2 linked regions of the Xenopus tropicalis genome follow. The protein of the gene in region 2 interacts with the protein of the main gene of each other region in a biochemical or structural test. Links are inferred from orthologs where the notes say so. Each region holds a gene or a part of one and is shown on either strand. Other genes may lie near its edges. The genes, in order: nmu and nmur1.

The links.
Region 1: the proteins of nmur1 (region 2) and nmu form a complex in vitro, tested with the Homo sapiens proteins (2 studies listed by BioGRID). The link is inferred for Xenopus tropicalis from reciprocal best matches to the Homo sapiens genes NMUR1 and NMU.

Annotation. Positions count from the first base shown.
Region 1 is NC_030677.2:40,473,441-40,477,934, forward strand, and holds the start of nmu (neuromedin-U), read right to left. Parts: upstream 2,836-4,494; 5' UTR 2,704-2,835; coding exon 2,544-2,703; intron 1-2,543.
Region 2 is NC_030681.2:100,931,759-100,935,408, forward strand, and holds the end of nmur1 (neuromedin-U receptor 1), read right to left. Parts: intron 1,158-3,650; coding exon 775-1,157; 3' UTR 589-774; downstream 1-588. UniProt on the Homo sapiens protein: Receptor for the neuromedin-U and neuromedin-S neuropeptides.

The sequences.
Region 1 (4,494 bases), on a different chromosome or scaffold from region 2:
ATCCCTCCAGTTGCGGAACAAGTCCCAGAACTGTGAAAGCATGTCTGTAGTTCGCCAGCTGTCATTAAAATACAACCTTCCAGTATGGTGAAAGTATATCTGCTGCCCTCCAGCTGTAGTTAATGTACAAGTACAAGCAACTGATTCTGGGAGCTGTAGATCAACAAGTGCTAAGAAGATGTAGATTGGACATCCCTGTTTAACAAAAAATGACAGAGCTGGCAGCTCAGTGAGTAAACCCACAGTGTAGCAGCTGAATATGAACCCACAATACATCCCATACCTATTTTTGTCTATTTGTGATTAAACAGAATCATGCTTATTTAAATATATACTGCTTCCTCAATGCCCCCCTTTGAAAAATGCATAACAGGTACAGGTATGGGATCTGTTATCCAGAATGCTTGAGATCTGGGATATGCCCAAGTGCAAGGTACTGTTTTATTGTTACAAAGAGAAAGAAAACCATTTTTTACAATTTGAATTATTTGAAAAGGAGTCTATGGGAGATGGTGTTTCCATCATTTGGAGCTTTCTGGATAACAGGTTTCCAGATAATGGATCCCATACCTGTATATCATTAAGGTACTTTAAATTACTCTTATTTGGAAAAGCATGTCAGAAAACAGAGCTATAGGGGCATACAAGCATGGGATTCATTATCTGGAAACCTTTTATCCAGAAAGCACAAAATTACAGGAAGGTTATCTCCCACAGACACCTTTTTCATCAAATAACGCAACATTTTAAAACATATTCTCTTTTTCTCTGTAATAATAATAATAAAATGGTACTTGATCCCAAGTAAATAAATTCTTATTGTAGGCAAAACAAGCCTTTGGAGTTAATTTAATGTTTACATTTATTTTTAACTAGACTTAAAAGTACGGAGATCCAAATTATGTAAAGACCCCTAACCGTAAAACCCCAGGTCCCAAGCATTCTAGATAGCAGGTTCCATACCTATCCCTGTATGTCTATGCAATGTAATTTGTACAATACTTTAAATTTGTGGACGATAAGACACTTAAACAACCTCGGAAAATATAAAATCCAGGAAGCCAGACGCGGTTTGCTGTGACTGCAACGTCTTGGGCACAAGGGGGTTAAAATACAACCCTATTCTTAAACTGAAATGCTTCCACTTTTTCATATACACCGGTGCCCCATTTGGTGCAAAGTTTATTGTAGATTCAAACTGTAATTAGTTAATTTCATCTCTTGAGACATTAGTGAGAATGTATTCCCAAAGAGGACATTATTATTATTATTATTATTATTATTATTATTATTATTAAAACACACACTTCTATTGAATGAACAAAAAGGAATGTAAATCAAAAAGAGGGACAATATTAGTGACTAATTAGTGTCTGCCCACCATTGCTTCTAATAATTTCATTGTAACCATGTGTCCCTTGCCAGTTTCTTTAATGCATTGCATTTTAATGACCATAAGATGCAGAAACCAGATTATGGGCAAACACAGGAAAGAAGGTTTCTCCATGTGTTTATGTAGAGGTCAGAGGGTTGGACTGATTGCTAGCCATATATTACAACACCAAATGCCAGTAATGGTAGAGGACAATTTCATATACAAGTATGGGATCCATTATTCAGAAACCTGTCATCCAGAAAGCTTCAAATTATGGGAAGACCATTTCCCATAAACTACATTTTAATCAAATAATTCATCATTATAAAACAGATTTCCTTTTTCACTGTAATAATAAAACAGTACATTGTACTTGATCCCAACTAACATATCATTAATCCATATTAGGGGCAAATCAATGCTAAATGAGTTTATTTAATGTTTAAATCCTTTTTAGTAAACTAACACGTCGTGAACATTCTGTATAACAGGTCCCATTCCTGTACTATATCTCAATCAGAAACTGATAAGGAAATAATATTGCATGATGAAAAGTTGTTATAGTGAGAAAAAGTAAACAAGGAATATGAAAAATGTTAAATTCTGTCACAATGAGAATTTTCGCCTAAGATAAAATTACATTTCTAAGCAACTTTCCAGTATACATTATTTCAGTGGCTCTAACATTATTTGTAAATATAAGTGCTATTTAACGCTGTGTGTCCCTGTCTCTTCTCTGTCGTAGTGGTTCTGCCTTTTGAAACAATGTAGCAGTAGCCAGATGTTTTACAGACCTGCGAAGAAGCACGCACGGCTGAATTCTACTACATTGTTTCAAGAGACAGGACCAGCAGTGCAGATACAAACTGCTTTTATTTGCAGTTTTATCCATAATTAATGTATTCTATAAAATTGCTTGAAATTACATTTATTTTAATGTTTTTATGTTTCTATTAAAGTGTTTAAAGTGTTGCTTTCCAGCTTGGCTGAGCTTAAGCAGTCTTGAAAGGTTCTGTAGTTCAGACAGCTGAAATTGTGCATGATAAAGAGAAGTTATAGAGTGTTTAGCAGCACAGACATGGAACAAAGCATCAGTTGCTTGGCACAAAGCTGAGCCACACAGTACTTACACGTGTTGCTGATGTGAAGACTAAAAGAAATAGCTTACCTTTACAGCTGGCAGCCCAAGATACCAAGAGGATGGCAAAAAGCAGCCAGGAGGGAGGCTGCCATTTGAAGCTGTGCAGCTGGGGGCAACTCTGTGGTGTTCCTATATTGGCAGCATATTGCAGAGCAGGCAGTTTGTTGCACCGGTTTGGAGCCAGCATAACTTCCTAGCAAAGCTGTCCCTGTGCTGTAAGGAGGCTTGGCAGGGAGGAGGAAGATTTCCTTGTTACAGTGCTTGCTTGGAGTCCCTGCAATCTTCCCACCTGCCTGCAGTTATCACTGCTGCTCCTCTGGCTGCTCCGCACTTTTATAACCCAACCACAAGGCTGCAGATGAAGGTGGAGGAGCCCAGTCGCACAGTCAGAATGCGTCATTAGCAACTTCTCTCCCACACTCCTGCCTTCATCATGCTGTGTGCATCAGTGCCAGACCCAGCCATAGGCTTCCCTCTAATTACCAGCATCCTGACAAGTGCCTTTTGTTTCAACTATAAAATTTGGGTTTGTGGGTGCATTTTGTGGGGATTCAATTGTTAGCATTGGCGATCAACAAATAACACAACTGGGCTGTTATTCAGTCAAAGGAATAGTATTGGCTTTTTTAGTTAGTATCTAGAGTTTCTAGGGCAGTGATACCTAACCAGTGGCTCGGGGGCAACATGTTGCTCACCAACCCATTGAATGTTGCTCCCAGTGGCTTCTAAGCAGGTGCTTATTTTTGAATTTCTGACTGGAAGACCGGTTTCAGTTGTATAAAAACCTAGTGTAATGCCAGTCTACATGGGGGCTACCAAATAGCCAATCATAGCTTTTATTTGCCAACCCCCTGAACTATTGTGATGTTTGTGTTGCTCCCCAAAACTTTTGCCATTTGAATGTGGCTCACACGTATAAAAGGTTGGGGACTCCTGTTCTAGAGCTTTAACTTTTGGCCTATGTGAGCAATATAAATAGAAACCTTTTACCATTTGTATATATTAAATGGGAATTATTACCTTCTCAGTTGTAGGTGTTGGTAAAAGGTTTGGTTTAGTTTTCTTGTATTAATGACAGTTACAGATGTGCATACATTAACTTGCCATTAGTATTATGAATGCTTACTTCTGCAGACTGGTGAAATGATTGGAAATACTGTTCTCACTTATAAAGGTATGGTACACTGTACCTGTTATCCAGAATGCTTGGGACCTGGGGTTTTTCAGAAAAGGGCTCTTTCTTTAATTTTGATTTCCATACCTCAAATTTTCTTAAAAAAATCATTTCAATGTTAATTAAACCCAACTGGATTGTTTTGCCTCCAATGAGTTGGGATCAAGTACAATGTACTATTTTATAATTACAAAGAAAAAGGAAATCATTATTTGATTACAATGGAGTCTATGGGAGATGGATGTATTTCATTTTATTGGTACTTTCTATTTATTTACAAGGCTGCTGTGTATAGTAGGTTCCCATGGACAATTTAGAAGCACAATTTCTACTTTTTCTTACTTTTTGTTAAATTGGTGAGTTGCAAGTAATTATTTGATTACAATGTACTGTATGGGAGGTTTCCTTCCTGTAATTTTGAGCTTTCTGGATAACAGATCCTATACCTGTACATGCTGCAATATAAGAGACCAGGCCATTCTTTATACAGAATTGGGCTCTTCACCCAAAAACTAATAAGTAATTCTAAGCATCTTTCCATTATACATTCAGTACATTTTGTCATTGTTTGTTAATGCAATTGTAGTTTAAACCAGTGTTTGATCACCCCCTCTCTGGCTCTGTATTCTGGCTTTTGCCACATTGTTTCCAGGTTTAAGATTGTGCTGTGGGAAATACACGCTCCATAGCAACATTCTTTTTATCACAGAGCTCCCTTAACTTGTCCATTTAAGCAGCAGGGAAATAGGACCATTAGTTACATATACAGTATATACAGTATATTTTCCCTCTTTGGTTTAACCC
Region 2 (3,650 bases):
TATTAACTCAACAACATTGTTTTGCTGTGTTAATAATTGTGACTACTGTCTTTTCAAATTGATTTTCCTGCTATTCAAACACAAACACAAACAAAATACATTTATTTAGAACAAACATTGTTATTTTTGCTAACATATTTGTTTGCTATAAATTTTTTCCGGGAACAGATTTGTTCATATATTGTTTAGATTCCACATTGCATTGTTAACCTCTATGGAATCTGCTTTGACATTTAACATGAACATGTGCAGGACTGTAGGGGTTTATGCTGGTAATCATTCCCAGTTATTTTGGCTTCTCTCTTTCCCCCACTACTATAAATTACCTCACAAATTTACAGTAATTTTTTAGACATAATGTATATGCTGGTTAGCCTCCCCCCATAGATATGTAGTGTACTTTTGTCATGGTCAAAAAGTGAAATTTTTGCCAGTCATGGATTTGCTGTGATATTCCACATTTCGCAAATTTTTTTTCGCAAAACTGATGCAAAAACTCACCACAACAAAAATCTGCTGAGTGAGGAAAAAGTCATGGTCGCTGCAAAAAAACAAAATTGTGCAGAAGCAATATTTTGCAAATCTTTTGCCGTTTCGCACATTTTTCAGCAGTTTTGCAACTGCAGTGTGAGACAAAACAGGACAGATTCACTCATCACTAAGTGCTATAGAAGGAAGAAAAGCACATGGTATGAAACAGGTGTGCAATGATCTACAGTATGCCAGATGTTGTATGCATGATATCAGGTAGTTTTGGTTAATATGGAAAATTGGCTAATTCTTTGCCACGTTATCACACTCTAAATATACAACAAACTCATCAACATCAGAGAATCGTAATCCATTTCCAGGGACATTTTCACACACTGTGCTGCGAGTGGTTACACGCGTGACACTTGGGGAAGACCTTCTGGAACCCAGCCTTTTTGTCCTTCCATGGCACATGACCTCCTTGAACATCTCACGGAATCGTGTGGACAGTAGGTTGTACAGGATAGGGTTAACCACAGAACTCAGGTAGAATAACACCCCAGAGATCACATGGACAAAGCTAAATATTTGGTGCATCACTTCTGTCCAGTCATTTATGAAACTCCACATCAGTCGTTCCGTGTGAAAGGGTGCCCAGCAGATCCCAAATACCACCACTAAGATAACTGCAGTGAAAAAAACAAACATTTGTGAACATCCACTTCACATTGATGTGTCTTTGTACAATTCTTCAAACAGATGCAGATTCATTATAATTACTGGTAACAACACTTTGCTGGGCATTCATAATCCAAAAGGGCCTGTAATACCAACAAGGCACAAATACACCAATATATACAGTAACCATGGGAACTGCATAAAAATGCCAGCAGGTTTGATATTTTCCTGCTGTTTTAAGCAACTATGTTTCCTGGAATGGAAAGACATGGCAGGCAAATCTCCTATGTGTACCAATGGTGTAAAGAGTCTATAAAGCCAATCTGCACCAAGGTATTGAGAAGGACATACAATGATCTCTGGAGCAATCGATGACACTTTCTAAGGATTTTGGCAGATCATTTTTTTCTTCTATTAGTATTTAGTGCATGATTAGAAGAAGGCAGCAGCAGTCAATGAAAAGAAATATTTAGAAATTATGCATTGAGTAAAATAATCGAAAACATATGGTAATAAGTATGGGTAAATTGTATGTAGAACAAGGTCCGTTGCTGTGAGCACTACAGCTTACATGGACCTACGCAAACAGAGATTTTACAAGAGCAGGGCCCATTCAGGGTGATGTTATAAATCATCTTAGAGGTCATTTATAAATACTGGGCAAATTCACATCTAGGCAGTAACCCATGGCAACCAATCAGATGCCTGCTTTCATTGTTCTACATGCAGCTGTTTGAAAAAATGACTGATAATTTGTTATGAATTACTGCCTAGGTGCAAAATTGCCTAGTGCTTATAAATGAGTCCCCTTGAGTTTGCCCTCATCTAGTAAACCATAGCAAATAATCAGATTTTTTTTGGTTAGTTGGTTAGTTGCTATGGGTTACTAGATGAGTAACACATTTGCATATATATGTATATAAATGTATATAAATTTTAAAAAGAGCATTTTATTGCCTTCAGTTTTAGATTCAGTTTAAGATTAACAGTCCATCTAAAAAAATTACATAAAACTGTTTATAATCACCAGTTATGACCAGACATGTGCATGAAAGATGTATATTTTCACTTTCAGTAGAGGCTGGTAAGCAACATAAGTATCGCACCATCTATTGTTTCTCTAAAAAGTAAAAACACACACTTATTTAATTGAATTGTTGTAAAGCTTGTTGGCACTACAAAAATAAATGATAATGAAATCAAATCTCTGATAGTGCTCAAGGTGTTAATATTTCCAAGATTTATTACTGTCGTCACTTCTGTTCATCCAGCTGGGATATTTCTCTCAGAACCAAGAGGCTGGGGATGGCTTCCTAATAAGGACAAAAACTGACAAAAAATTCCACAGATAAAAGAGGAGTGCAGCCATGGGCTGTCATAGTGAGAGAGGCCAGAGCTTCAAGCAGCAAGATACAAACATCACCTGGATGAATTGCAGGGTCTATAAGCCCAGATAAGTTGCTATCACTCAATGACAATGACAGTGCACAGCTTTCCGTATGGTAGCCACTCAGGAAGAGACAATCACTTTGCTTGCCGATATTTATAGGCTGGTTTTATAAGCTGGGTTGCAACATACGCAGTGCAGTGCTTAGCATTCATTAGATTCGTGTTTATTTCCTACAGGTTTGTTATGACATGTCTAGCTAAAATGCAGTGAGACTTAGTATAAAAGTCAAACTCATAACATAAGAATTCAGAGAAACAGATAGAATGCTGATGGACAGGAAAATGTTCATTTAAGCAAGGTGTGGTCTCATTTAAAGAAGTTTAAAGAAGACTGGTTTTCTTGACTAAAGCACTGTAAAGCAAAAAAAACTAATCCAAAATATCTACTGTTACTGAAATAATAAAATACATTCTATAATTCATAGAAACAGTTAGACCACTGGAACATAGGGTTAGGGTTGCCACCTTTCCAATTTTGAACAGCAAAGTTTTATCTTGGGCAGTCTGGTTTAAACGTTTATCTGGAGAAACCGGGGCAAAATTCTCCCAGTCTGGCCAATAGTCTTGTGCTCCTGATATCACCCCACCCTATTACATACCCTTAGCTCCCCTTAATTTCATCATCCCACCCAGAAAGGTGGCAATTTTAGATGTGCAAACCAACCCCTTGGATGTTGCTCCCAATGTCCCCAAAGCAGGTGCTTATTTTTCAGTTCCTGGCTTGGCAGCAAGTTTCAGTTGAATAAAAACAAGATGTACTACCAAACAAAGCCTCCTGTAAGCCTCCTGATAGTGTGCATAGAGGCTACCAAATAGGCAATCACAGCCCATATTTGCACCACCATGAACTTTTATGATGCTTGTGTTGCTCCCCAACTCTTTTTACATTTGACTGTAGCTCACAAGTAAAAAAGGTTGGGGACCCTCAGGTCTATGGGCATCCAGGGCTGGGCCACGTCGGGTGCCCAGCCACGTTGCCCTTGCATGCGTGCACATGCGTGATGACTACGGGGGAAGTAAATGGCAAGCAACTGGTGGAGCAACAAGGGTCC